3 linked regions of the Alligator mississippiensis genome follow. The protein of the gene in region 1 interacts with the protein of each later gene in a biochemical or structural test. Links are inferred from orthologs where the notes say so. Each region holds a gene or a part of one and is shown in the gene's direction. Other genes may lie near its edges. The genes, in order: S100A6, CEP43 and CACYBP.

The links.
Region 2: the proteins of S100A6 (region 1) and CEP43 form a complex in vitro, tested with the Homo sapiens proteins (2 studies listed by BioGRID and IntAct, with this or other methods). The link is inferred for Alligator mississippiensis from reciprocal best matches to the Homo sapiens genes S100A6 and CEP43.
Region 3: the proteins of S100A6 (region 1) and CACYBP are reported together in a solved structure, tested with the Homo sapiens proteins (2 studies listed by BioGRID and IntAct, with this or other methods). The link is inferred for Alligator mississippiensis from reciprocal best matches to the Homo sapiens genes S100A6 and CACYBP.

What each region holds. Positions count from the first base shown.
Region 1 is NC_081838.1:13,256,783-13,266,881, forward strand, and holds S100A6 (protein S100-A6), read left to right. Parts: upstream 1-6,198; 5' UTR 6,199-6,299; intron 6,300-7,243; 5' UTR 7,244-7,258; coding exon 7,259-7,396; intron 7,397-8,384; coding exon 8,385-8,528; 3' UTR 8,529-8,609; downstream 8,610-10,099. Other genes in the region: S100A4 (protein S100-A4), read left to right, coding at 2,505-2,645, 2,979-3,143; S100A5 (protein S100-A5), read left to right, coding at 5,233-5,370, 5,551-5,694. UniProt on the Homo sapiens protein: May function as calcium sensor and modulator, contributing to cellular calcium signaling.
Region 2 is NC_081824.1:144,062,922-144,072,565, forward strand, and holds the start of CEP43 (centrosomal protein 43), read left to right. Parts: upstream 1-5,320; 5' UTR 5,321-5,595; coding exon 5,596-5,679; intron 5,680-9,644. UniProt on the Homo sapiens protein: Required for anchoring microtubules to the centrosomes. Required for ciliation.
Region 3 is NC_081828.1:48,613,900-48,624,089, forward strand, and holds the start of CACYBP (calcyclin-binding protein), read left to right. Parts: upstream 1-5,411; 5' UTR 5,412-5,507; coding exon 5,508-5,528; intron 5,529-8,025; coding exon 8,026-8,221; intron 8,222-9,512; coding exon 9,513-9,609; intron 9,610-10,085; coding exon 10,086-10,185; intron 10,186-10,190. UniProt on the Homo sapiens protein: May be involved in calcium-dependent ubiquitination and subsequent proteasomal degradation of target proteins. Probably serves as a molecular bridge in ubiquitin E3 complexes. Participates in the ubiquitin-mediated degradation of beta-catenin (CTNNB1).

The sequences.
Region 1 (10,099 bases):
CATTCCCAGCCCTGTCTCCTGGGAGATCCTGCCTGCCCCTGGCTCTGGAGTTTGCCTTGACCCAGGCTCCAAGGATGCTGGGGTGCTGGGAGATGCCTCCAGGTTGCAGCAGCTTTGCTTTCATGCCTGCAGTTTGCCCTGTGGCCTCTGATCCACCCGGGGCATCTCCAAGCATTGCAACTTCGCCTCATCCTGGCTTGCACCTATGCTCTGAGCTGGCCACATTGCAGGAAGGAGGATGCAGATTAAGGTCATGCTGGGCCAGTGTGGACACCATCAGGGTTTGACCCCAGAGACCTGCCTATGGGGCTAATGGCAAAGACAAGCCTGGGTGGGCAAGACTTGGTGGTCCCCGTGTGGCTTGCTGTGGGGACTTCCCTGCTGCAGGGATGTGACCTTCCCAGGCTTTGGCAGGGCATCAAGCCTGTATCCCCTGCTCCAACCCCACTGGCCTGGTCCACCCAGCTCAGGGGGATGCTCTGGCACGTGACCGGGACCGTGGGGCCTATGACACTTAGTGGAAGAATACAGCCCAGGCCAGACCAGCATCTGGTTACACAACTCAGCGGCACCGCCCTCCCACCATTATGAAACGCAAGGCAGCTGCCTCCAATTTCAGTTAAAAAAAATGAAAAACACTCCGAAACAGCAGCTCGGGCACTGTGCGTCATGGAGCTGCGGATGCTTCCCATCGCTTCATGCTCGCTGGGATTAACCCTCGGAGCAAATGCGTGTCCATGATCAGGCCGTGCCGGGTAGGGCAGGCATTTCCTATGCAGCTGTGATTGAGCTGTCCTAGGGTTTCCTCCCCTGCGTGACCAGGGTAGGTGACGCGTGAATAGATGCCTTGGCTTGATGAAGCCCTTGTCACTGTTTCATGCTTCCTGGGCCCTTTCTCCCTGAAGCATCTCGGGGCAAAGTGTGGGGGGAGGGGGGGGGGCAGGCAGGAGTATGGCTGTGGACTGGAGCCACCTGGACACATGGCAGGTTTATCCAATTTGGGGTGCTTTAGACAGAGAGGGGTAAGGGAGATCTCAGATGATGGCCATTGACTCACCTGAGCAGCCATCCCACGCTGCCTTGTCCCATGTCCATGCATGTGTTCATCCACCCCATGCTCATCCCCCCCGCCCCCCCCTCCTCTCTCCCACCAGGGATTGCAAAGACTCATTAAGCTCTGACTCCCCCAGTTCGTCCCTCATTTTGTTTCCTGCTCTTGTCCAGGCTGTTCCACTCCCTCCCCTGCAGATACACCCCATGGCCCGGTGCCAGTCGGTGCCCCTTGCACCCACCGGGGCAGTGGCTGCATCCGCCCATTCTTCTCTGCCCAAAATTGGGCCTGAGGGGAGGGCAGGACATGGGGCCCAGGGCTCCCCAGCCCCTTGTAGCCAATGCCTGCCAGGACGTTTGGGTGCTCCTCCGCTCATTGGCCTTGCTTTAATTTCCAGAGCCGGAGGGGGTGTCCCCAGTCATGTACGCTGACTATAAATACTGAGGGTTTTTGCTCAGCCGCTTGTCCGGCCAGCATCTGTCAGCCTATTTCCTGCCTCGCTGCCTTGGTAAGTGGTTTGTTTTATTGAGATGCTTGGGGCTTCAGCTGCTCCAGCTGCTGGTGGTTTGTGCATGGGGGGCTGGGGACACAGCCAGCCCTGCGGTTTGGGAGAAGGGGGCGCTGCCTTTGCTGCAGCAGATGTACATGATCCTGAGCTGGGGTGGTGAAGGCGGCCACGGGTTCCCCACTTAGCCTGGGTCTCAGAGCTGCCCTCTGCATCCAGGCAGTTTTGGGGTTAGTGGAGGTCTGGGGCTCTGCTCTGACACAGCCAGGGCTGCAAAGGGCCTCCCCGGACCCACGCAAAGGGTGATGCCTCCTCTGGAGTCTGGGCTTATGCAGCAGCCTGGCTGGGGTCTGCAGTACTTGTGCCCCCCGTTGTATTCCCATTATGCTCCCAGCCCCCAGGCTGTCATTGCTTGCCCCCCACAGCCATTCTTCTGCTAAGCCCCCAGCCCTCAGGCTGTCATCGCTCGGTCCCTCCAGCTGTGCTCCTGCTAAGCCTCCAGCCCCTGGGCTGTCATTGCAGTTGGCGCTGGCTACCAACGCCCATCTGCGCTGCCAACATGACCTCAGGGGAGGCTTGGGAGCAGGCAGGAAACAGTGACACATCCTCCTGCCTTGGTGCAATTAGCAGGTGGGGGCCCTCCCTCTGGGGATGCTGGGCAGGGCCAGGCTATAGGCACTTAGCACTTGTCCCATGGGCCTGGGTGAAGGGTCTGTGACCGGAGGGCTTGGTGGGGATGCTGGGAGAGCTGGGCACACCACAAAAGACAGGACCCGGGTACCTTGCCTGTGCTCCTCCTATGCAAAGGCACTCAAATATATTCAAATCTGCTTCCGTCCCTGCACCCTTAACCCCTGGGCCAGCTGGTCCCAGCTTGGTAGGGAGCTCTGTGCTTCGGGCCGTGCTCTAAGCAGCCCCCTCCCCACGTCTCTAGCTCCCAGATCTGCCATGGCGCATCCCTTGGAGCAGGCACTGCAAGTGATTGTCTCCACCTTCCACAAGTACTCGGGGAAGGAAGGCGACAAGTTGAAGCTCAACAAGGCAGAGCTCAAGGACCTGATGCTGAAGGAGCTGCCCAGCTTCATCAGTGTGAGTGGGGGGACTGGGACCCCCAGGCACTGGGGGCGGTGCTGGGACCTGGGCACAGGAGACCTGTCTGCCCCTGTGAAGGGGTCCAGTGGCCTCTTGCAGAGGGGGCTCGGTTCCTGCTCTGGGATTTATTCTCAGATAAATCTATTCTGCCCCTTTGAAGAGGGGAGGGGGGCAGGAGGTGCCCACGTCCTGTCCCAAACAGTTCTGCCTGGGGCGGGTACACGCGGATGATGGGGTGGAGGGAGGTGGGTGATGCCCTGAGCTGCAGGAGGGGTGCAGAGCATTTCTGGGCTAGGCTGAACCCTGCTCCCACCTCCTTCCCCCTGGCAGAAAAAGACGGATGATGCCAGCTTCCAGAAGATGCTGAGCAACCTGGATAGCAACCGCGACAACGAGGTGGACTTCCAGGAGTATGCCACCTTCCTGGCCTGCGCTGCCATGATGTGCAACGACATCTTTGAGGGCTGCCCCGACAAGATGCCACGGAGGAAGTGATTGCCCTGGGCCTGGGCTGTCCTGCGTGGGTTCCTCCTGGGACCCCCGCTGCATTGCTCACCACTGCCTCGAGAGCCCGTTGAGAGCCCGTGCAATAAAGTCACTTCCAGAGTCCCGTGTGTGTCTTCGACTGTGTAACTGGTTCCCGGACTGTGTTGCACATGGAGTCGTAGGGGTGGGTAAAGTTCCCTGTGGGGTCTTCAAGGGTTTCTGCCAGCTTTGCCCAAAAGAGCAGGGGTCTGATCCAGGCGCAGGGAAAAGTGCAGCAAACCGGGGTCGGGGGCTTTGCTCCTTCCAACTCCAGGATAGCAGCCCTCAACTGCTGGCAGCAAGGGGAGCTCCTCCTAGGCTCTACCCCGCTCCAGGGGGATCCATCTTGGCAGGTGACCCCATAAGTCCTTTCCTACCTGGGTGAGTTTATTGCAGAGCCAGAGCCTGCTGCAGCCCCTTCCCCACAGCTCAGTGACCATGGGGTCCCAAGACCAGGGTGAGGGGCTGGGCCACAGCACTCCAGGGCAGCTGGCTGTGTGGCCCTGGGGTCACCCACAGAGAGGCAGCAGTGCCTGTGGTCCAACTCCACCGGATGGAGCCATGGCTGCTGCATGACGGGGCTTGGACAGTCCCAGCAGCCCCCCACAGCAAACCCTTGGCTCTTGCCGGGCACCTGTCCTGGGCCCTTGCTGTCCACCCCCTGCCTCCGGCTCTGCATCTCCCCAGCTGGGCATTGCTAAGCAACAGGGCTCTGCCCCTCTGGAGCATCCTGCTTGCTGAAATCCCTGGTGCCAGGAGCTGGCACTGCCATGGAGACAGCAATGTCCTTGGGAACATCCTCTACATCATGCTCCAGCTGCCCCCTTCCCTCCCATCCCCTCTGCATGGGGCCAGATTCTGCTCTGGATTTGCTTTGGGGGAGCTGTGAGCTGAGGGGTAACCCCAGGCCACCCCGGGCAGTGGGTGCAGGGGCCATCTGGCTCCAAGGCCGTGCCCTGACTGCACCCCACAAGCATGGGCAGGCGGTGACCCTGGGGAGCCAGGATCCTGGCAACTGCATCCACTTTCCATTGGTGCCTGAGCCAGGAGGGTATAAGAGGAGCTGCCTGCCCTGCCCTGGACTCTCTGCACCCGTGATCTCCTCTTTGGTAGGTTGGGGGGTTCGATGCCATCAGCTGGGCTGGTGAGATGGGGGGATAGGCTGGCTTGGGGACTTCTCTGTCCTGCCTTCTCCAGACGTGCAGCAGCTGCTGACTCTAATGCTTCTGCATGGGGCTGCTGGTCCAGCAGGATGGTAACCGCATGACCCAGGGGGTCCTGGGCAGATGGGGCAGCTGTGCCTTTCCTACCCCCCCACCTATTCAGAGTCCCCAGCGCCCAGTGGTGCCTGGGCCTCGGGCATGAGGTTAATTCCACCTCCCCCTGCACCCTGGAGGCTTCTTTCCTGTGTCCCCAGCCTTGCAGGGCGGGGGGGGGGGGGAGGTGAGCCCCCGTTCTTTTGTCCCACTGAGCTGGGGCAAAGGCTGTTACCGGAGAAGCCCAGGTGCAAAAAGGCACCTAATCCCTCCTAAGCCTCTTTGAAAGGCCTCCTCAATAGGACCCGCCTGGTCCGGGTGTGAATGAGTCAGGTGCCCCAGGGCAGTGGAGCCACACCCTGCCCAGCAGTTTGTGGGCATCTGCTGTTTGCTCACCACGTTGCTAACGGTGAAGGACCCACGTGGTGGATTTCAGGGGCATGGGCCTGGGCTTTGATGAGCTGGGCCAGGAGATCTGGTGCCCGTTGCTGTAAGCACCCACCGAGGCCAAAGGCTGTGGTGCAAGGGGCTGCACACACAATGGCCGTGCTGGAGGGGGTGGGGGGCCTGGCCCTGCGAAACCTCTACTGCTGTCTAGAGATTGGGTGGAAGGCCAGGAGCTGAGCTCAATCCCCTGCCCTGCCACTGCCCCCTCAATGACCTTGGCCATGTCCCTGGGTCTCTCTAGGCTTTATTCCCCACAACCCGCATCCTGCTGCTCTTCCTGAGCTGAGCAGCCCCAAGGGTCTTCACCCCGGTGTCGCGCTTCTGCTCCCCGCGTCCCCTTCTCCCTTGCAGGTGGCATGGAGACCCCCCTGGAGAAAGCCCTGGCCACCCTGGTCCTCACCTTCCACAAGTACTCGGGGAAAGAGGGTGACAAGTTCACCTTGAGCCGGGGGGAGCTGAAGGCACTGGTGAAGAATGAGCTGGGGCTGGGCCAGGTGAGAGCTGGGTGAGGGGCTGCAGCGGGTGTGCCCCTCTCTGTCCGGGATCGGGGCCTTCCAACGCTGCAGGGTGAAGTCCTCCCTGCTATACCCACCATACCCCCCCCCCCCCCGGGTTTCCCTGTCCCTGGCACAAGCCCAGGGGCTGCGTGTGATCGGCTGGGCCCCGCTCTGCAGAAAATGAAGGAGCACAACATTGACGAGCTGATGAAGACTCTGGACAAGAACAGCGATGACGAGATCGACTTCAAGGAGTACTCGGCTTTCTTGTCTGCCCTGTGCATGGCTTACAACGACTTCTTCCAGCAGGATGGCAAGTAGCAGAGCCCCCCACGCCCAGGTCCCTTGGCCTGGGCTGCAGCGCAGCTGCCTTCAATAAAGAGCTTTCCGCCTGCTGCTCGCCTGAGGTTGTTTTTTCCACTCTGGTTCCTTTCCAGCCTGGTTCTGGCTCCGAGCCATGGGGAGGGACACAGAGGAAACCCCCGTGCAGGGGAGGGGCAGATAGAGCAGGGGGTGATGCCCCTGCCCCACATGAGAGGATGCATGGGGGGGCAAGTGAGACAGCCCCTGCAAAGACTCCTGGGGCCCTGCTGCTACAGGTGGGGCAGGGGCTCTGTGGCAGCACTAGCTTGTGGCCTGGGAAGGGTGTCACCATGGGGACCCACCTCTGCCCTGCCCCAGAGCCCAGTTGGCACGGGGCCGGTGTGTGGTGGGGGGCTGGGTGCGGTGGGGCAGGGTCCATGGTGCTGGGTAGTGTCCGGGGCAGTAGGGGCAGGGCTTGTGCAGAGGGGCAGGGCTTCCCCAGCGTCCTGGGAGGTGTGTGTGTGGGGGGCACCCAGCCCGATCTATAAAGGCTGCCTGCTGCCTGGAGCCTCATCCCACGCTCTCCTCTGCTCTCCTCTCCTCGCTTCTCTCCGGTTCATTTGGTAAGTTGGCGCTTTCCCTTTCCTCCAGAGTGCTGCCATTGCCCCGCCAGCTGTGGCTGCACTCTCTTCCAGTTGTGCCCCTGCCCCACTCCCTCCCTGGCAGCAGTTCTGGAGCTGGCTCCAGGGACCATATCTGGACAGAGAGGCCAGGACTCCCTTCCTCTACCTCTGACCCCATTGCTCCTGCCCCAAAGGACCCCGTCCTCCCCCCAGCTCTCTCCAGCTGGGTTTGCAGGGTCCCCTAGTAGTCCCCAATACCTGTGGGAGCTTTGTACCTGGGTTTCCCAGGCACAGACGGTGCTTCTGGGGGCAGCAGGGTCCCAAAAACCTGGGGGGGGCCTGGGCGATGTGGGGGGACTGCTATGCCCCGGTGTGGGGTGTGGCTTCTTGCACAACAGCCAAGCTGGCAGCTGTCCCAGTAGGTCTCGGCTGACACCCTGTGGCAGTGGGCGAGAAGGCACTGGCTCCGGCTGTCTCTCAATGTGGAGCTACAGGGTTCAGGGCTTGGTCCCCACCCTGCCCTGTGCTTCATGCCTGGGCCCCACTAAGCCTGAGAGCAACCAGGGGGGTGAGCGGCGGGTCTGCCTTTCCCGCTCCCCAGTGCCTCCACCCTGCTTCGCTCCCTTTCCTGCGGTCCGCAAAGGCCTGCGGCCAGTCAGGGTGCCCCGGTTTGGGATCCATGTGGCACTCCCTGGATCTCTGCTCAGAGCCAGGCCCTACCCCTTCTCTCCTGTCCTTTCCCCGTGCCCATCCCCAGGGTGTCTTGGAGCCCCCACCCCGCTTTTCCTGGGAGCATCAAGGTTGCACAGCAGACCCTGGATATCCCTGGATCAGCCAGGCCAGAGAGCCATGGGCACCCGTGCGGTCTCCCTGTCCTTGCTCCGTCCCATCTCCAGCCCCCCCGGCCCCTGCTGCAGCTCACAGGCATCTCTGCCCCCACCCAGATCCACCCCGCAACCATGTCGTGCACCCTGGACCAGGCCATCGGGGCCTTGGTGTATGTCTTCCACAAGTACTCAGGGAAGGAAGGCAATAAGGACACACTGAGCAAGCAGGAGCTGAAGGAACTCATCCAGAAGGAGCTCAGCCTTGGCCCGGTGAGTGGGGCTGGGGGCAGCAGAGTTTGGTAGCATCCCAGAGGCCAAAGCCTGGCACCTGCAGAGGCCCAGTCACCTGGGCCCAGATCAGCCCCCCTGGTGCTAAGCGCAGATGGCCCTGGCCTGGAGGAGGGCAGAGACGGGAGGGTGGCGAGGGGACTTGCCCAAGGTCACCTAGGAAGTCAGTAGCAGAGCTGGGAAGGAACCCTGCTTTCCCAAGGCTCCAGCCAACAGCTTGGCATCACACCCTTGGGGATGTGGGGGGCAGTAGGATTTGGGGATTTGGTAGTGTCCCAACTGCCCCTAGCTCATGGCCCAGCTGGAGAATCTACCCAGCAGAGGCTCCCCCCGGGGTTATCAGTGTCTGGCTCAGGAAGTTGTGTGTGCAACTGTGTGCATGCATGTATGTGCATACCTGTCTGAATGTGTGCATGAGGGTGCAAGGCCAGAACAGTGGGCCCACTCCCCATTTGGCGGCGGGCTGCCACACCTATTCATGATGCAGAGGACAGCAATGCAAAGAATCCGCGTGGTGACTAACGGCCTGGCTTAGCAACCCTAGGACGTGCACAGCCCTGCTCCAGTGCAGAACCCAGTGAGTGCCGCCAGAGGGCTCAGGCAGGCAAGGTTCTTCGGGTAGATGTGATATTTTTTATTAGACCAACTAAATAGTTGGAAAAAAGTTCTTTGCAAGCTTTTTGGGCAAGAGAGCTCACACACCCTTTAAAGGGAGAGTCCCCTCATTCCTATACTCTGCAGGGGCATGGTGGGGAGCCTGGGTTGGATGTTTTGGGTTTCTTTTGAAGCCCAGCTTCTCAGCTGCTCCCATGCAGAGTATAGCAATGAGGGCCCTATCCTTTTAAAGGGGGTGTGAGCCCCTTAGCAGCGCTCACCAGGTTCTGCATTTTGGAGGGTGAGGCCAGCCGATGCCTGTCGAGGGTCACACGCTGAACACGTTAACACACCTAATGCTTCCTCCCTGCTCCAGAAACTGAAGGATGCTGACGTCACCAAGCTCATGGCCGACCTGGATCGCAACAAGGACCAGGAGGTGAACTTCCAGGAGTACGTCACCTTCTTGGCAGCCCTGGCCATGATCTACCATGAAGAGCTGGCCAAGCACAAGTGCTAGCCATAGCTGGGGATGGGGCAACCTGGAGGGGCCTGCCCTGGGCACCAAGCTGGAAAATAAATGCTTTTTTGTAACGCCTTGCCCTGGGCTCCGTCTCCGTTCTGTTGCCTTCCAAGAGCAAGTGCCCGCTGGGAATCTGCTGGGCATGGCATGGCTGAAGTAGACAGGATGGGGCATTGAGGGGGGCCGTGCCGCATGCTGGGACATGGGGATGATTTGCGGGGGCTGTGGCAGGGTCAGCGCACATGGAGCAGGGTCAATGCATGGGGGCCCAGGGTCAATGCACACAGAGCCCCAGTTGCCAGCACTGCTGGAGGCAGCTCGGGCTCAGGTCCCTACAGCCTGATGTCCCTGGGGCCTGGACAGATGCATGTCATCCTGGGGCCGAGGGGCTCAGCTCACCTCAGCCCCTCACTGTTCTGGCACTGAGCACACATAGGAGGCTGGAGGGCCGAGACCTGGCAATGCAAGGGGGCATGCCTGAGACTGCTGGGGCTGCAGTATGGGGGTAGGGCTGGGCTGGGCTGGGCTAGAGGGTGCCCTGGCCGCCCTGATGCCCTCTGCATCTCTGCCCCTATGTTGTAGCAGCTGGGGGAGTAGGGGGGTGATGAGCAACAGCTGCGGCTCTGCAGGAGGCTCACACTACGCCGGGCTCTGGCCAACTGCCCACATCATCCCGGATCTGGTGACCATGGTCCTGAGAAGCCACGGCGTTTCCCAGGCTGGACCATGATGCCGGTGTAAGATCCCAGGGTTGATAGCAGATGCTCTGGTTTCTGAGGGCGCTTGTGGCCTGGGGAGCTCTGGCCACGGCTGCCTCCAGGGCACGGTGCAGTGCAATGAACCTGGGGGCAGAGCAGCTCATCCCTCCCTCACTCCCGCACTCCATCCCTCTCTCTCTTTCCCTCTCTGTTCTGTTTTGCATTGCTGCCTGTAACTTGATGTCTGTTGGGCATGCAATACATTGGCAGTGGCAGTGAGTTGGCCCTGACACATGTGCGCCCCTTGGGCATTACTGTTCTGTTTGGGCCTGCTTTGGGTCTTGTGTCTTACCTTTTGCATGGTCCTGGGCTGGTCCAGCACCGGGCACAGAGGGGTCCCGGTGTCTGGCATGACAGGAAAGCAACTCAGTATGGAATTGGAGACGACGGGTCCAGAGGGGCAACGCACCAGGTCAGCTCATGGGGAGCCAGTAGGATGGGGACCAGGCTCAGCCAAGGTGCTGGCCAACCCATGGTGCTCAGACAAGAGCCATAACTGGACCAGGGAGTACTGAGGCACCGAGACCAACCTGCCCAGTGGTGGAAGCCATGTGTATGCCTGTTCTGCGGGCAGTATGGGGGTACAAGGCACCCTTGGTTCTGGCTTTGCTGGTTGGCTGGGGCAGGGACTGGGGTGCAAGGTCCAGAGACATGCTCCCTGCAGTATCTCAAGCCTAGCAATTCCCTTTCCAGCTCGCCGCAGGGTGATGGACCAGGGGACCCAGAAGCAGAGGAGCTGGGGGTCTTTTAGGAGAACAGGCTGCAGGAAGCCTCCAAAGGTGCCATGCCAAGCCTGGGTCTCAGCTCCAG
Region 2 (9,644 bases), on another chromosome or scaffold:
ATCTGCCCATGCAGAGCAGCTTTCAGAATCAGGCTTTAGACAGCACTCTGTATTCTCTGCATGGTTCTTGCTGTGGGCTGACTCATCAAGCAATAGCAGGCAAGAAAGGGATAAATATCAACACAGTGACAATGTTTTCAAAGTCTCATTTCCCAGTTTCATTTTTAAAGTATTCTTATTCTTGAATTCTGTCAATGAAAACTTGTAACAGCTAACTGGTGCCACCTTCTGCATGTCTCTAGAGACAATATGCGTTCATCATCAATACATATATATTAGTGTAGCATATCTGTATATTATGCTTAAAACACTGAATCTTTATTCCTAGGAGGATTCACCTCTTGACTTTCCTAGGAGGATTCTCCCTGCATTCCTATACTTTTCAGTGCAAAGGAGATCCAAAGATATCTTTAAAACGATATACTGAAAATATGCATCATGTCCTGAACGGTATTTAAATGTCAGTTGCATTTACAGTTAATGCTTTTATAATGCTTTCTGTTTTCAAGACAACATGCAACTATTAACTAATCAATCTGCATAAAGCTCATAAGATAGATAAAACAGTTTTGGTCATCTACAAAACAACTAAATGTTCCAGGCATAATTTCATCGAAACCACTCAGTTCCCTATCTTTTTTTAGGAATATTTTTGACAAACATGAACATTTTTAGAGTAACCCTTGTCTGTCTCTCTCTCTCTTTTTGAAACAGCTGCAAATATTGACTAAAACTGTATCCAGAACTTAAGTCATCGCCCCCCTCCTTTTGCTGCATGTGTGCTTAGTATAACTTCCAAGGGTGTTGGATAGCATCCTAACAGCTGTCCTCCATTAGCGTTGCCCACAACACACAAGTAATCTTGTAATTACTTTGCCAATTAAGGAGTGTTAGAGTGAAGTTGTAGCGGATGGTCCAGGAATTATATGAAAGGCAATGACTTCTAAGTGTGATATCTTTTATTGGACCAACTGCATAGTTGGGATAGAGTTAGACAAGCATTTGACTGCAAGACATTCTTCTTCTAGTCTAACTCCAGAGTTCGTATTATGGGGTAGCTTGGGCAGGAAGGGGCGGCTGAGTCCCCTCATAAGAGATGAGGAACCTCCCACCACAATAAGAAGCAAGAACCACCAGTCAGCCCTTGGCTAGCCCTGCGCCTTTCTAAGCAGCCCAGGTGGCAGAGGCGGTGGCGGCTCCTTCCAGCTGCCACCACTGCAGACCCCCCCCCCCCCCCCCCGCTAAACAAAGTCTAAGTGTAATTCAAACCCTGTCTAACTCCATCCAAAGGTCTAACTCTATTCAAGTTTAACTCTATCTAAGCTTGCCAACTCTATCCCAACTATGCAGTTGGTCCAATAAAAGATACCATCCTAAGAAATCATGGCCCCTCTAATTAAGGAGAACAGGATTTGGTCTGATGGCATTTGTTAAGTATTGTTCACGTTCAGCTTTGACTATTGGGCTTCCCATTGTTTGGCATGTGCTCCCTGCCCCCAAGCTCTGCAGCTTCCCCACCTAGTGGAGGGAAGGGGAGTGGCAGCAGCACAGCAGTCAAAACAGAGAGAAACTTTTAAGGTGTGATAGTGATTTTTTTTAACACCTGTCTCCCCCATCTCTCAGCCAGACTCCAAAACATGACACTTTTAGAAACTTTGTGAAAGTCTGTTTCATTTTGGTGCCAAATAAATACGTACATAAAAGCAACCAACCCCAAGGCACCCTTCTAGCCAGTAGCCCTACCTGCCACGCTGGACAAAGCAGTGCAGGGGAAGAGGAGGTGTCACAGAGTGAAGTTGCAGATTAAACTTAGAGCAGGCATAAGCAACCCTTGGCATGGATGCCAAAGTGTGGCACGTGAAGGCATTTTGCTTGGCACATGCAGCTCAGGGCAGACAGCAGGGAAGTGGCCAGGCCTGTGCTGCCAAACAAGGATTGGGCCCCTCACAGCTCCCCTGCCACCCACCCCTGGCACTCCAACATTTTACAAATGGAGGTTGTATATTTTTGGCACTCTGCCCAAAAATGTTGCCAGCCCCTGATTTCGACCATATTAAGGACACTTAAAACATGAGTCTACACATTAAAGCTCATTAACTCATGCTAAGTGTCCTCTGAGCATCTCAAAGTGATGCCACTTCAGGCATTAACTCTGGACCACACTACCTAGGGTAACTTCAGCCTGCTCTGCTGAGATAATACGAACAATTTGCAGTCCTCTATCATCCCCAAATGTACCACTTCCAGCACCCCCACCTACCTAGAGCAGGGATAGAGCCCTGATGGGGTAGCCACATCCCTGCTCACCAGCCCTGTAGCCACAAAGTCAGAGCTGTACAGGCAGGAAACAGTATTAACCCTTAACATGCAGCTGCTCGCAGCTTTCTAACTTTAGCATTATTTCACGTCCCACAAATGTAGCACAGTCTAAGACAGGAGTGGGCAAAATCCAGCCTTTGGGCTGGACTGTTCCAGCAGTGGACTCCATTTCCCAGCAGCCCCTGCCTGCATCGCTGTGCCCGGTCTCCATGGAGACCCTAGGAGCTGCGGCACAGTGACCGTGCAGCGCCAGGGTTTCCATGGAGACTGGACCCACTAGTGCTGGCAGAGTGTGCAGCTGGGTGGGGAGCTGCTTTGGGGCTGGGATCTTGCAGTGGTGACAGTGTGGTCCAGAGCTGGGGCAGAGCTGCAATCCACTGCCCACACGCTTCGGGCTGGAGTGTGCAGACAGTGCTGAGCTCCAGACCACACAGTCAGCACTGCAAAATCTCAGCCCCAGCCCCAGAGCAGCTCCCCACCCAGCTGCATGCCCTTCCAGCACTGCTGGGGCTGGGCTCCATGGAAACCCTGGCTGGGCACTGCCAAGGTGCCCCCTCTACTAGGGTCTCCATGGAAAACAGCTGCAGTGACATGGGTAGGGGCTGCTGGGAAATAGAGTCTGGCTGCTGGCAAGATCTGCCATTTTGCTCACCCCTGGTCTAAGGCCTCCTCTACACGTTATACTTCAGGCATGATTAATCACTTAATCATGTCTTAAGATGCAACCCAGCTACACGTTTTCAATTAATGGTGTGATAAAACAAGCAATAAACAAGCTAAAAAATGTGTAATAACTTTATATCTTGTTCTAATCAGACCATTAATTGACCATGTAGCCCCTGTGTCTGGGAGCCCCATCAACCAAGGGGCTCCCAGCCACAGGGGTGCACCACCTGCTACCAAGGCTCGCAGTCAGTGGTGGCAGCATTCCTGGCACTGTCCTTGCCGTGAGCCTCCTCAGCTGCAGGGCTCACAGCGGAGACAACACTGCCCTCCCTGTGTGCCTCATAAGGTGTCTCATTAGAGTCCATAGGGCCTAAACCTGCATGTGTAAAGAGGCCCCAAGGGTAGCGTGTCACTTCACCCACAGATAAACCACCCTTTTTCCCCAGTGGGAAGGCCCAGTGCTTTTCCTCTGCCAACTCAAGGCTGCAGCGCCCTGCTGTGCCTTCAAAGCAAGGCTGGACAGAAACCAGCTGTACAGCTGCGACCCATTTTTTAGGCACAAAGTGTAGAGCCACTTGGCTCTTTTTTCTAGCTGGAAAATCATTTTTATCAGGTGGCAATTACAGCCTAGCTGGTCTCCACTAACCAGTGAATGGCGCAAGCATCACTTTGTCTTGTGCTTGTTTCTAGTTAAGGCAGGGTTCAGCCATTAACTTAGCCTTGCCAGGTCTTAAGTATAAAATTATCCTATTGGAAGCTCAAAATTATCTTATTTGCTGAAAAACTACCGTACACTGAAAAATACGTAAATAAGGATGCAAATCAGTCTTCTTGTTTACTTTATATTGTTCACTGTAACTTGCCAGTGACTGAGTGCGAACTTGAAGCATTGCTTTATTTTGAGGCAAGCATCATAAGAAAGTGCAGAGAGCAAACCCAAAAATGAGGCAGCACTGTACATCTGTCTGAACAGCAGGGGCCCTCGACAACCCGTTTCAACCAGTTTGTGTCCTGCAGCAAAGTACAGACACACCGAAACAGACTGTGTTAAAATGTTTCTGAGCAAACATCAGTCCTACTACCAGAAAACAGTGGGAGAGGATGGAGAAGACACAGCTAACTCCACCTGGAAAAGAGATGCTTGGCACAACCTGTTCAAAGACCCCCCTGGGAAGGGAAGAGGACAGAAAGAAAAGGACAATGACACAACTGGACCCCAGGACAGTGAGGAAGACAGCAACAGGTTCAGCAGCAGCAGTGACAGTGATATCAACAGAGACAAGGATAGGGAATGACTGAGAATGTAAACCTAAATCGGGGCTTGGACTACAGGACTGCGATTGGGTTAGGGAAGGGCAGCGGGTGGGTGTGGGCAGAGCTGGTCCAACCATTAGGCAAACTAGGCGGTCACCTAGGGTACCAAAATTTGAGGGAGCACCAAAATATATCCAGAACAAAATAACAGGAACATCATTCTAAATAGCAGCTCTGGCTAGCTACAGCTCCACCTTGGTCTAAGACCTGTGGCTCGGTAAGGGGATAAAGCCCTCTGAAAAGATCTCAGAGGTAAAAGTTCATTTTAGACTTCTTATTTTCCTCTATATTGGAAGTGGGGGGGCACTGAGGTGCACAATTACCCTTGGCCCGGCCTTGGGTGCGGGGGGGTACAGGATCATTTGTTGTGATGGGTACACTGCTTCTTAATGTGGTTTAAAGTGTGTGATGGAAAGTTTTATGCTAGATGATGTATATATATCTATATATATTTATGTCAATATAGCTATGATATAAATATATATAGCTATGTATATATCTCTATATCAATATAGCTATACGATATAGATATATCCATATATAGATGTAGATTTCCACCCCCCCCAAAAAAGAGCAAACCCAAAAGTCGGTCAAGACTCCTGGAGAGTGATTTGGGTTTTGCATTTGCTGCATCAGTGAGCTGCCTCAAAAATTATCGTACATTTTTCAGGGGGAAAAGGACAATTTTCTTGCCATTTTCCAGTTGGTCTAATAAAAGGTATCATTTTGGAGCCAAGACCTCTAGTTTGTACACTTTTACTATTAACCAGCCTACCTGAGCGCGTTGAAACTCTGATAACGATGATAATGACAGTCCGCCTGGCAACATCACTACCAATGAACTGCCTGACATACGTAATCCCGCTCCGCCCCCAGCTGGGAGCGATTGGCTGGGGCTGGACGGGGGGCGTGGCTCAGCGTCCTCCCTTCCCCTCCCGTTCTGCGCTCTGTAACTGAAGCTCTGGCTAACTGCTGGATGGTTAGGAGCGCGCGTCACGCGGCAAGTTCTAGGGGGCGGGACCTCGCAGCCAGCCCCGCCCCCTGTCTTCAAACCTCCCGCCTCATGGCGTCAAGCTAGCGCTGCGCATTCGCATCTACACTTTCAGTCCCGTCCGGTCCCTGCGGTGGGGCTCATCCTCCTCTTCAGGCGGCTGGGCCATGCGGTAGCCGGGCCGCCAGCTTTACGATCCGCAACCGCGGCTGCCCCTGCAGTCCCCCGCCTCCCTGGCCCGTAGCGAATGTGCGGGGCCGACGCGGCCGCTAGCGCGGTTTGGGCGGTTGTCAGGGAGAAACAAGATGGCGGCGGCGGAGGAGGACACGGAGCTGCGGGACCTGCTGGTGCAGACGCTGGAGAGCAGCGGGGTGCTCAACAAGATCAAGGTGCGCGGCGGGGGGCATGGAGCCGACGGGTCTCGCGGCGGGAACAGAGCCTGGCCCAGCGGCACCGGCGCGGCTCAGCCCGGGCCTGCGACCGCCCGGTCCGCGCAGGGGGCTGCGGGGGCCCCGGTCCTGGCACAACCGGAGAGGCGTCTAGTAGGGGCGGGTTGGGAAGGGTCGCGCTGAGTTAGCCCCAAATCCGAGCCGTCCCTTTCTAGCCCGACCCAGAGAGCAGCGTTGCCAGGTCTTAAATAGGAAATTATGGTCTTGGAAGGTCACGATTCTCGCATTTGCGGAGAAACTATCATGTGCTGAAAAACAAATGCAAGTAAGTATGCAGATAAGCCACTTTCTTATTGACTTTATGTTGTTTGTTGTGAGCCACCGAGCACTGGGTCATCAAAATTTAGGTGTTTCCTTATTTTGAGGTGAGCAGTCATAACGTGCTTAACGTAGACCCAAAACCTCCCACTTAGCTGCTGGAGTAGGAAGGTCTTGGCTTTAAGCCTGCTTTATGGAAATGGGAGACTTCTCCCTGGCTTGCCCCAGGGGCTTTACGGCTGAGGGCAAGCAAAACTCAGGGGGATCCGAATAAGTAGGATGCCCACTAAAGATTTTTGGAAACATCTGAAGCCCCAGATGGGGTTGCAGGATGCTTGGTAGTAGTAAGGCAACTTACGGTTCTGGACTAATTCTCAGATTTGGAATTTGTTTTGACTAATTTGGCTTGGACTACAGAAAATTAAACAAAAAAACCAAAACCTCATAAGTCAGTTAAGAAACCCTGAATGTTACCTGGGTTTTGTATACGCTGCATCAGTGAGCTGCCTCAACAATTATCATACACTTTGAACACTTACTGTTATTGATCCTACATTGTACATGGGTTGTAATTGTACAGATACGATAATTATTATACACTTGGCAACACTGACAAAGAGCTGTTCTGCAGCCCAGCTCGGGACCTTGCATCGCCAAATGAGCTGGGGCTGAGTTGTCAGTGAGGGGATTTATTCAGAGCTGTGATCTCTTCCCCTCCCCGGGGTGCCACCAGGTCTGCTGGGACAGCCCTGCCAGCACAAGGCACAGGGTGAATCCAGAGGCTTCCTCCCCCCACCCCTGGTAAAAATGTCCTGCCCTGTTGTGGGTTCCCTGTGGTGCAAGAACTGCCCTGTCATTTCTCTGCAGTCAGAACAAGTGGTGTTTTTCTGATGGGGGAGGGGGAGGCCTGAAGTGTGTTGAGAGCTGCTGATTTGGAGGAAGGTGGACAGCTAGCAAAAGCTCAAGTTGACAAGCATGTTGGAACAAGGGGGAGTTGTTGGTTTGGAAGAGCAGTGGCAGGCTGTGCTGTGTGCCATGCTGCTAAGCAGAAGTCACCTGTTGATGCTTTGCTGCCTCTACCACTTCACATAACAGTTGCGTCCTCAGCTTCATTTCTTGCATCATATTGGTAGGTGAAAAGCACAGTTTGTAGATCCTATATAAGTAATATTGATTATAGTGAAGTTACTGAAGTCCGGCTGCTGCCTCTATTGGGTTTCCTGTGCTTTCTTTCCTTGTGCTTAATTCAAATGTGCAATGTGCTTCAACACGGAAAACTTGCTATAACCAATACAGCACAATTAAGGATTCCTTGGCTGACCACAAATTAATGAAACTTTCATAGAAATATATAGTGTATACTACTGCCTGAATTATTTCTTGTACTTGCAAGGCCTCCTGCACCTACTTCATGAGAACATGAGATTGATTTGTCATGCTGCAGCAGACCAAATGCCTTTGTGCATATCCAGACAAGGTTCCTTGGGTGAATTTGATATCTTTTATTAGATCAACCCACTTTGTGCATATCCTGCCTTTGACAGTGGGAGGTAACTTCTGCCCATAGTTTTCTTGCTCCCAATCAATTGACGTACAGCTTTTCAGTGGCCAGCTAACCAGTAACCATAATCTGAATTGGGAGTAAGCTCAATCTTTTGGTAGTTCTGGTGAAGCAATATTGCTTCTCTTGGTCTCTGACAGATTTTGGTAAACCTTTGTTTTTAAGAACTGTTCAAAAGCAACCCGGTCACTTAAAACCCAAACTTGAAATGGAAGCTGGCTTAATGGGTATAAGGAGAAAGAATACTTTTCTTTCCTGCCAAATGTCAAACAGTGATGCTCATTATATTATTTTCTGTAGTTTTAGTACATATTAATAGCTTTTATTATGGTGCCAAAGTTGAGAGAGAAAGTTATGCTTTGACAGTTGTTGTTTATGTACTGCCAGATGAAATGCAAACTAGTTTCTAGGAACTGGTGAAGGTAAAAACTAGGAAGCAAGTCCTAGAAGGATATCTGTTTAGTGTTGTTTAGAGGTTGATAAGAATAAATACGTAAGAAGATTATCTGGATATAGGTGTGATCTAGCTAAAGTAGACAATGTGAAATTGTCAAGAAGAAAAATATGGAAGGACTGAAAAATAGAACAAAGAGCAGTAGGTAGGACCCGTAACAGGCCTCCAGTAATGCAGCTGAGGGAAATACAGGGCACTTGGGGTCATTGCTGGTCTGCTACAGTGACTTGTGGTGATTAAGTGAAATCTTAGTCCTACCATAGACTAAATGAGGTGGTAATAATCATTAGTGGTTTGGAAACTAGTTTTTTTTGTGCCAAAGTACCCAGCATAGCTATAGATTATTGAACCAGAACATGCAAAGTTTCAATTGCTTTTTAAACCAGTTAATAACTGCTGAACACTGCTCAATATATTTTACTTGTCTTTGAGCACAGCAGAATTGGGGTAAAACCTTAATTTGGTAGTTGGCAGCATACTTACCTACATGTAAATCAATATGTTGTCCACTTCCAGTTGATACATTTTCTATTTCTTTGTCAACTGAACTGAATTATTAACAGAAATATTATCCATGAGAATAGTATTAGTCAGCATTCAAAAATGGCCTGTAAACTGACTGCTGTTTAGATTTGGTAAGCATGGTCCTTTTTAAAAGTAAGTTCTTTGCATACACAATGATCCTGAATGTTCTCCCACTAGTACTGGATGTAGGAGTGTGTCTCTGATGGGATGGAGCTTCTTTCAAGATCATTTTACTCTGATTTAATTGGTTGGAAGTATCACTAATGACGAGGAGTTTCTAGTACTGGCTACCCCTTTTAGCTCTAACAGTGATGGAGCAAGCCTTTCCTGTGATGGTATAAAACTTAACAGGATCTCTGAAAAGTCAGTTGCATTAATTCAATCTAAAAAAAAGAATGTGTAGGAAACTTATTGGGAAGTTGACATCTGGATCCCAGGAGCAAATTAAAAAGTAATAAAGCTGTATTAATTTTAAAGAAGACTTTTTAAAACAACACTTTCAGAGCTCTTTTAAAGATTTTACAAATTTAGGAAATTTTAAGATCTGATTTTGCTTTTATAGCTTCCTTCCATTTGTTGCAGTACACATCTTTTTAAATGCTGAAGTACAGTCTTTTAAAACTGCCAGTCATCTGTCATAGTGAGTGTATTTTACGTGCCAGGATACAGTCATCAACCTATTTCATCTGTTGTCACAGAAGCAACTTCAGAATGACAGCTCACTTTGAACTGGAATAACTGTATAGAAAGACTTAATTCCCCCCTCCCCCCCCCCATACATTTGTTTTTAAATAATGATACCTAAGCTTAGATTTCTTCCACTTCCACTTGGGTGCCAAAGAAAATCAAATGCACTACACACTAAAATGACTTTTAATCGTACAAATCAATATCCATTTCTTAAAAAGCTTTTTCACCTCTGGTCAAATATAAACTTTGGGATAACTTCAACAGCAACTGTTGCTGTTGCTTAACTCATTAAATCTACCTGCTAGCTATTGAGCCATTTAACTAGATGAGGACTTTTTAAAGGGGTGAATTTCTTAGCCAGAAATGTGTAGAACAAAATATTTGAAGGGTATGTAAACACTGAATGAAAGACAAGGG
Region 3 (10,190 bases), on another chromosome or scaffold:
GTGCTGGGGGTCACTCTTCCCCCTCTTCTGCCTCCACAGGGGCAGCGGGAGCGCGGAGCTCAGCTGGGCAGGGGGTGGGGTGCAGAGTGTAGGGACCCGCACACACTCCCCCCCCATAGCGTGCAGCCCCCGCTGCCTGGCAGGCGCGTGCCTGATGCAGGCGCAGAGCGGGGAGTGGAGCCTACCTTATCCCCGAGGCTGTGCTCCCTGCGCCTCTAACTCCAGCCCTGGCAGCGGGGGAAGCCTCACACTGGAGCCTGCTGTCCAGCGCGGGGCTTCCCCGCTGCACCTGTGGCGCTTGCTGTAGGTGCGCAGCGGAGCCCGGGCCAGGGCATGGAAGCAGCCGGGCGGGCTGCGGGGCTGTGCTCCTTGCCCCAGTGCGGCGCTGCCTGCCTCTGTCCCCCGGGCTCCGCGTTGGGCCCCTGCAGCGCCACGATCACAGCAAGGAAGCCCCGCACTGGACTCTGTGGGGAAGCGGGAGCAGGGCTCCCTCCACTCCTTGCAGTGCAGGGCTCCTTCCACTCCTCGCAGTGCAGGGCTCCTTCCACTCCTTGCAGTGCGGGGACTGCGCAGCCGGGAGCAGGGAGATGGCAGGCTCCAGTGCGGGGCTTCCTTCCCTCACTGCCAGGGCTGGAGCTACAGGCTCTGGCCAGCTACACACCCTGCCCAGTTGAGCTCCGGGCTCCTGCTGCCCCTCTGCCAGGAGGAGGGGGAAGAGTCCCCCAACATGGAACAGAGCCTCCCCTGCCCTGGAGGGGGAAGGAGTGACAGGAAGAGTCCCCCTCTGGGGTTGGGCAGCCTCCCATTTAGCCCCCCCAGCAATGGGGGAGAAGCAGGGGGAAGAGTCCCCACTGGGGTCAGGCAGTCTCACAGAGCACCCCTCCCCACCCCACCATAGGGGGGGGAGAGGAGAAGGGAGAAGAGCCCCCCCAGCACCGAACAGGGTCCCCCTCCTGGCCCTCAGTGGGCAGCGGGGAGAGGGAGAAGGGGGACGAGTTCCTCTCTGGGACTGGGCAGTGCTGTGCGCCCAGATTGCTCCTGGCTGTCAGGGGGCCACTGCAGCCGGCCTGCCAGGGCCTGGCCATGCCCCCTCCTCCGCTCACCCTCCCTGTGGAATTCAACTGCTCTAGCACCCCGGGCTTCTGGCTTGACTCACTGCAGGCATGTGCTGGATGTCTATCCGTTTACAAACCAGTTCACTCTCTGCAGGTTAGACTAACTTGCAAACACTGAATCAATTCAGGTTCAGGTTTTTTGAATGTCTGTCCCTAGTTCAGATGTAGGTGTCTGTTTTCTTGAGGGATGCCTTCTATGTCCTTATAGCATTTTCTCTGGCAACTGTGAGATTTCAGGCTGCAACTAAGCTAGGAATAGGGCACTTGTTTTGGAAGCTGAGAGTTGGGCATCTGCATACAATGTCCCCTCCAGAGAAGTCAGTGCTTGTGGCTCACAGAGACTATGCTGGTAACATTAGCTTCAGTGATGCTGGCGTTTGTGCAACGAACATTTGATGCAAAGGATTTTTTGGAAGCATTGTTGGTGATAGTGGTAAGATTAATCACAAAGTTAACGGTATTGTTTTTTTTTATGACAATTCAACTGAAGACTTCAAAAAAGAATATGGATTGATGGGTCTGGTGTGATCGAGAATCTATTTAAACTGCTCTATGGAACACTGCCATCCTTACAAGTCAATCCCAGAATTTGGACATTAGGATTTAGTTATTTCAATTTGATCTGGTATTCCCCCAAGAAACTTAGCTTTCTAATGACTTAGTGTTTTATTTGTCAGGCTTTCAGTCCCTTTTCAATGTAGCATTCAGAGTAAAACCAGTCAGACTGTCAAGTGTTCTGGCCATTCTTGAATCTACTAAATTAAAGCAAATTAATACCTGGCAAACCTCTCCTTACAACAGTACAGTATTAGTTTTCTGCATGCAGCCTTTGTACTAGCCCTGTTTATTTCTCCCTTGGAACTCCACTATCTATAATGATTTTTGTGGACAGAGCTTCCTCATTTATCTATGTATAGAAAATTTCCATCTGAAGTGGTTTAATTCTTCCTTCAACTTGGTTAGTGGGATGATACCTCCACTCTTTCCCATATATTCTAAGTACAAACATGAGAAATGCATCAGGTGTAGTTTTATAAGGATTCTTGTTGGAGGTCTTGAAGTACAGAGGTTGCAATGATTGTGAGGGTCATTTTACAATCTCTTTTTGTAGTGGGAGAAATGTGCTTGATTATATGGCCATTGCAATATTGTTTCTCTAATTTCTTACTGGTGGTCTTTACTCAGACAGCAATCACCAATCCCTGCAAGTACATTTCTACTCTCCAGAAGCTTTATTCTGGAGGGATTTGGGGAGATTGTGTCTTATTCAGGATTTTTGAAAACTCAAAGTGAATTAAGTGGAATCCTTTAGCTAAGTCTAAAAAATAACAGAGCATCCAGCAATCTGTTGGTTTTTAAGAACCAATTTTGTACCTTGATGATCCAGAGTAAATCTACATGCTGTTTATTAAGATAATTTAAAAAATCCAGACTAAAAAGGGGTATTTATGATCTTTTAAAGAATAAAAAAATATATACAATTTTAGTTCCTTCAGTTGTAAGAAATGGCTTTGTATTATGCCAAGAACTCTTTGATATAATGGCTCCCCTGATTCAATTAAGACAGTAGATATTCTAAAAAGGAATATTTAAAAACAGTGAATAAGAAATGCTATACTGTGATAAGACCTTTTGGAAGGCATTTTAACTTTTGGAACCAGAGAAAAAATAGTCTCTTACTTGGAAGCTGGTAGCAATACACTATGGTGAGATTAAGGTAAATACCAAAGTCCTTATCTCTAGGCATGCTGGGGAAAGAGAACTTTTCCTGACATTTATAATGTTATTTCATCTTTCAGGAAGTAAGGATAAAATTAATTGTGTTAGCAAAATGATTTACTAATAAAAAGTCCAGAGAAATGATAATGTGATCCTGGGATTTATTGCCCAATTAGCATCTTAGATGTGGCTTTTAAAATCTATCCTAAATATTTCTGAGGGAGATAACAGGAATTGTTAACTATACTCGCAAACAAAAAAGCCAGTTTCAGGAATGGCTGTACTGCTACTACTGTTTTGTCCTCTCATTTGATTTGTAGGCAATAGCTGCTCAAGAGGGGAAAATATTATATGGTCTTTGATCTGCAATGCTTTTTTTACTCTATCAGATAGTCTCCAGGACTAACTAGCAAGAACTACTATAGATTTTGGACAACTTTTTTTTTTAACCCTCTATAGTCAAACAGTGGCCAAGATCAGGAAAGGGTAGAAAGAAATAAGGATGTTCAGTTCACCTGTCACAAACAATGTCTATCCAGGCCCCACTCCTTTTTAACTTCTATATGGAGAAAGTGCTTAGTTTAGATGGGCGGCAGTTTTTCTTTTCACAGCTGAAACAGTTTCACTGTCCAAGCTCCTCTAGCCCTGGAGTCGATTAAAATATTTTTCCTACGAGGTGTGCTTAAGGGTTAGTTGTCAGACAATTTAAATAATTTCCCTTGGCCATGGGCTAAGGCAGTATAAACTGAAGACTGATAGTTATATGGAACAGGTCAGGTCCCTCCCACGGGATAAACATGTTGTGACAGAGAGAAGTGCCTTCCTTCCTATATGGACAGTGCTTTGTTTCCTTTCTATCCTCAGGCACAATTTAATCCCATTGGCTTCTGAGAGTTTTCAGGGCTAACAGAAGCGTCCCCTTGCGGTACAGTGCAGACATTTGAAAGAGTTTATGCTTATGCTCCCATTGTACCCCAACAGCTCCTGCCGGGGTACAGATTGGGAATGCATTGACCGGCTAAAGCTCAATACCCAAACACTTACTGTATTTAAACAAATATAAGATGAGGTCTGCCCCCATCAGCATGGGGGAAAAAAAGCCTTGAACCTTATATTCACATACAAAGCAGAGGGGGAGCTGTGGGTCTAACTCTGGCCTTGAGCCCGGATCAGGGCCAGAGTCAGACTCACAATCAGGCCCTCTCAGAGGTCAAGAGAGGCCCGGGCCACATTTTTTGAGGCTCAAAATACAATGCAGTAATTTGTAATAAATGTTCCTTTTTTATTTAACAACTGCTTTTCTAGCTTTTTTCTTCTTCTTTCAATCCTGTCAGTGTATTTCTGTGTCTGTATGTATAACCTCATTTGGAGATAACGTCCAAAGTCTAAATTTGAGGCCTTCCGTGAATGAGAGGCCCGGGCCAAATGGCCCTCCTGGCCCCCCTGTGACAGGCCCTGCTCACAACCACTTCCTGATGCCCCCAGCCACTGCTTCAGGCTGATGTAGCAGTGGGGAGGAGGGGATTCAGGAAACCCTCCAGTACTTAGATTCTTTACCTAGAAAACTATACAACTCTGTACGCTTTTCATATACAGCATTTAAGTATTGCAGGGCCATCTTGTAGTCAAGTAAATATAGTCTAAAGGCCGCGGCACCAAAATCCCCTGGACCCTGGGCAGGTCTGGACCGGACCGGGCTGGGCAGCGCCAGCACAGCCCTCGCTGGCACGCTGAGGCCGAGGGCCACGCCGAGGCCGAGGGCCACGCCCAGCAGGCCCTGGACCCCAGGTCAGCAGCAGGTCACGCTCCAGCAGTCCCGTGGGGCCCGTCTGAGCCCACGACCAGGTGAAGTAACTTGCCTGAGCACCCCAGTGTTGCCAGGTCTTAAATATGAAGTTATCCTATTCGAACCTCAAAATTATCATATTTGCTGAAAAACTACTGTACACTGAAAAATATGCAAACAAGTCTTATTTACTTTCTATTGTTCAGTGTTGATGCCAGTGAGTGAGAACCGGGTCATTGAAGCAGCAGCCTTTATTTGGAGGCATGCAGTCATAAGGTCGTGTTGACAGCAAGCCCAAATGTCAGCAAAGACTCCCTGAGAGTTTTGCCCGCGCTGCATCCAGGAGCTGCCTCAAGCTTCAGTGTACATTTGGGACACGTTCACTTTTATGGATCGCATATCGTGCAAGGGTTAACATGATCACACAAATACGGTAATTACCGCGCCCGACACCACCGCTGCCCCCCCGCGCGCCGCGCCCAAGGGCTCCCAGCCTGCCCGCCCCTCCGTTTCCACGGAAACACGGTTGCCCCGCCCACTCCTACGGGACCCCACCTAGAGTGAGAGGGGCTGGTGGCCCCCTGCGCCAGGACCTTCTAGCTCGGCTACTACCTCTATGGTTCTTCCGGTAGAGCGCCGCGGGCGGAGGGGCGGGGCGGGGCTTATGTAGATCTCGTCGCTAGGGGGCATGTCCGCGCCGGGTTCTCGAGGGGCGTGTAACTAAGGGGCGGGGCTATCGGGAAAGTTCCAGAGCGGGGGGAGGGGAGGAGCGAGGGCGGAGCAGCCGTGCGGCTGAGTCAGTGCGGCGAGCGCGCCCCCTCCCTCGCTCCCGTACCCCGGCGGAGCCAGCGCGTGCTGCGCCGAGCCGGGCCGCGCCACTCCGAGACATGGCGTCGGCGCGGGAGGAGGTGAGTGGCGAGCCGGGCACGGGGAGCCGGTGGCAGCAGCGCCTGGGGGTCTGGCCGGCGGGGCGGGGCGGGGCGGGGCGGGGCGGAGAGGCAGCGGGGGACACGGCGTCCCATGGCCCTCGGGGAGCCAGCGGGCGCCGCCCCGTGAACCGGTGCCGGGTGGCGCTGTTTGCCCCTTGGGACTTCGTGGGCGAAAGGTCTCCGCCACCGCCGGAAGCTATAAGCCGCGCCCAGAAAGGGCGGCCGCAGGGGAAGCGGCAGCTGGCCCCTCGGGCCAGTCATAACAGCGCGGGGCGGGCGCGGGGCCGAGGTCAGTCCGTCACGGGGGCGGGGCGGGGCGGGGAGCGGAGCGCGCCCGGACAGCCCTGGGCACCGCCAGGGCTACTGGCCGTCTGTCACCTGGGCCTGAGCCCCGACTAACCTATTGGCCTCCCCCACCCCGGGAGGCTGCAAAACAGGTGACAGTTGATTACTGGGGACAAATAACAAAAATAGGGATGGGGGTGCTGGTCAGACTAGTGCGCTGAGGGGAGGGACGAGTCTGAGGAGTTGGTGGGCGCTGCCCAGTGAAATGCTGTCTGTGTGTGACGCAGGAAACTGGGCAGGATGAACTCATGGGCTGACCCAGTACGCGGCAGTTCTTGCACGTTCCTGTGTTCGCTGCTGGGGCCGTGTAGGTCACGCCTGTGGGAAACGGCTGGCTGAGGCAACTGCTCACTGAATTTCATGTTGGGGGCTACTTTGCTGGTTTCAAAAAGACTGCAGAGCTGTGGTGCTGAGCATGGTGCTGATGGCGCTCTCGGTGATCCCACTACTGAGAGCTCTGGGCAGCTACTTCTGCTAGCAAGATCAGGGCCGGCATCCTTGGAACGAATAGCCCAGAGATAAAAACCAAAGTCAGAGGGTGTTCAGAGCGGCTTGACTATGAAACTGGCACGTGTAGGAAATTAAAAAAAAAAAAACCCAACAAGTTACCTGCCTCTATCTGTCAGGTTCTAGAAAAAAATGTGAAACTGAGTTATATACTTCATGGTCATTTTAATGTGTAAGGTTAAGTTTGAATGTGTAGCTGTGGAGTGCATCACCAATCTTAATGTAATGTACTATGTTACTTAGCTTTATTAACTCTTGTGATCTGGTGCTAGCATACGCCTTAACTTTTACACTTAGAAAACATTCACACCCTGTCTTAGAGCATGTTTACCAGCATAATTATACTAACATAGATCCATCCCTGTGTAAGTTCTCCTGTGTAGAACACCCCCCCCCCCAATAATCACAAAGTCATCAACAAAGTTGCTTTCTCAGGAGGAAAATAATAAAGATGGATACTGTCACAAGGCAGATTTCTCTTCCAATTGGTGGGAAAAGGAAAATTCTGCAATATTTTTTTTTCATAGAAGTGGAATTCAAAGGTGAGCAATACCCACTAGCATAATAAAGTTACAATATACCTCAGGAACTGGCCTGGGACCAATATGGTGAACAAGAAGGGGGAGAAAACTTTCCAGAGCATCTGGCTTAACAATTGTTTATGTATCCGTCTTTCTTGTGCAACGTGTTTGGGGGAAAAAACACAAAATTCTAGAAGGCAGGAGAGCTTGGGCTCCCTGACTTCAGAAATTGGATTTCCAGACCTAGGAGATCAATGTTTGTCAAGGCCTGAGAGAGAGAGAGTTATTATTAACTTATTAACAAGATTGCTAATTTAGAATTACATAGGTAAATAAACTAGAACAGTATGAAGTTTGATTATCAGATGTTTTAGGCGTCTACCACCATGCAAACAATTAACATAAAGCAATACTAGGACCAAGCAATAGAAGCTGGACAACACTGCTGTAAAGGGTGGAAACAGATGTCACCTGATGTCTCATTTGCACTGCCATAAAATTTTTTATGGCAGCACAAATGCTGAGCAATCAAGTGTTGATCACATTGCCTCTTGTGTCCGCCACCAAGGGCAGGAAAAGGGGCAACATTTGTTTCATCCAGTGAAACGGATCAGCTGTGCCATGACAAGTTTCTTGAAGTTATTACATATGATTCTCTTAGGCCAGAGTAATTGGACTTGCAAAGGCAAAACATACATAAAGCATTGCTCAGCTAAAAACTAAAATATGGCCTTATGAGGTCTTGCTAGACAAAAATGCTAACTCAACAAGATACTTTTCATTTTTTTTTGTTAAAGGACACAGAAAAATATCACCCCTAAAATGAGTCCACCTCTCAGTTCTGCTACCCTGGGAATAAGGGAGTGAAACTAGTCCAAGTATTAGTAGCAGGTCTGTATTCTCCAGCTGCTTTTGTGAGTTCAGCAAAACTCAGGTCCACATGGTAACCTAAATTTATATTTAGAGCTGCTTTAGAGGCTGCTGGGTATGCAGGCGCTTTATTTCTTTTGGACACTCAATGAGTGAAGGGGCTCAACAGTTTGCCTCAGGTGAAGTAGCATGTAATCCAGTGCACATATATGGTCTTTTATTCTTAAACCCAGCTGCAGAAAGACTTGGAAGAGGTTAAAGAGCTGTTGAACAAAGCCACAAGAAAAAGAATTCAGGATGTCCTGATGGCAGAAAAGCATAAGATAGAGACAGAAATCAAGAACCAGCCAGGACCCAAGCCCAAAAGTGATGCAGTAGAGGAAGAGAAACCACCAGCTGGAGGATATACTGTGAAAATCAACAATTACGGTAAGCTTGCACTTCCAACTTCCTGCTGAGAAAATACGTTTTAACAGAGCTGAGGGCACTGTTAGTGCCAACCAGTGGTTAATGAGTTATAATTGTGTAATCATGAAGGTGACAGAGGGAGGTCGTGCTCAGTTTGTGTGTGTTTGCATCTTTTAAAATATAGGGGTAATAACTGCCCAGTATGGAACATGATGTTTTAAATGTGGGATGTTTAGAAGAGGGGAGGACAGAGTTTCTGGAATTCCTCATCTCTCTTCCTAGCCCCAAGCAAAATAAGCCCACCCCTTTAGGAGGGGGCAGGATATGTTACACAGCGGTTGCTCCTGTGAAGCATTGAGATCCTCTCCTGAATTACAGTAAACGTTTTGTTAACCGGTATCTTACAAGTCGGCATGCTATACTAACCGGCATGCCGGCTTGTAAGATAAAGTGAAACTGGAAGTGCCTGCCGTGGCATTTTTGGTTTCTCCGACCTCCGTGGCTCAGGGCAAAGCAGCTTGCACTGCTGAGCCCCCACAGCCCAGGGGCATAACAGACTGCGGGGTCTGCCCCACAGGTCCTCAGGGCCTGCGGGAGTGGTGGTGATGCTGCGGGAGGGACGCCCCAGACGTGGCAGGAGAATCTGTGGCCAGGGCCGCTCAATTAACGGGCATATTTTTGTTATCCAGCATCCCCCATTCCCAGGGGATGCAGGATAACAGAGCTTTTACTGTACCTGTAGCCAAAGCATGGGGTGGGTAAAGTTAAGCACCCCCAAATTCTACTCCCTATTAATGCAGGGAATTACTGCTTTCTGACCTGCCCAACCATAAGTACCCCTTCCCCAGTACTTGACAAGAATTGAGGGAACATGTGCAGTTCAGCTGCAGTTTAGGCAAAAGGAACAGAGTACCCAAAATGCTAGTCTTGGGGAAAGGACAACTGGGGGCCACTAATACGCAATCTCAGTTTAACAGGGTACTGCAGGAGTGGGTCTTTGAAGCAGCCAGGTAGACTAGTCAAACCAGCCACCCAGCTCTGATCCTCTCCATCCTTTCCTGCTCAGTCAGGCAGAGCTGCCCTGGTTCTCTGAGAAGAACCAGAGAAACCAAAGAACTTAGCTGATAATTGCATTCCTAACCTTGTTGCTTCTGTTCCATTTATGCTCCGCATGGTGTCTTTCCCCAGCTATCTGAAGATAGTTGCAGCAGAGCATTATCTATGGTGGAATACTGTACTTGCTTCAGGGAAAGCGGGTCATGAGCTGGTGGAAGAAGGCTGAAAGAAACCTACCTGTCCTTTTCTCTTGCAGGTTGGGACCAGTCAGATAGATTTGTGAAGATTTACATCACTTTAAATGATGTTCACAAGCTCCCAGCTGAGAATGTGCAAGTGCATTTCTCAGAGAGGTGAGTCCAGACTTTTGCTGTGCCAGCCAGAAAGCACATTTGGAAAAGCTGCATCTCAGATGAAGGGGCCTGTTTTGTTGAACACTCCTCTGGGTCAAAATCTAAAATGGTCTATTGTCTTTAGTACATACTGGTATGTATGTGTATATTTCTTCTCAGAGAATCTCAAAACATTTTACAAATTCTAATTAAGACTCATGACACTTGGTTGGGGTTCTGAAACAGAGCTGTTATTTGTCCAGGTTCTGCAAGAAGTTGGTGCGACACAGCTGTAAGAAAGAACCCTGAACGGGACTATTATTTTCTTATACCTTCTAGATGATTATTTTTCCAAGGATTTGTACAATCTTGTAGCAAGCTGGAGATGAGGAAATCCCAGGAAAAACAAATATTCTCCTCTCTCTATTGTTTAAATGTCATTTTACATATTGCGTATGATGATGGGGGCATACAGATGTACTCTTTCTCCATTCTAGGTCATTTGATTTGTTGGTGAAACATCTGAATGGGCGGAATTACTCCATGACATTCAACAACCTGCTGAAACCCATTTCTGTGGATGGCAGTTCTAGAAAGGTATT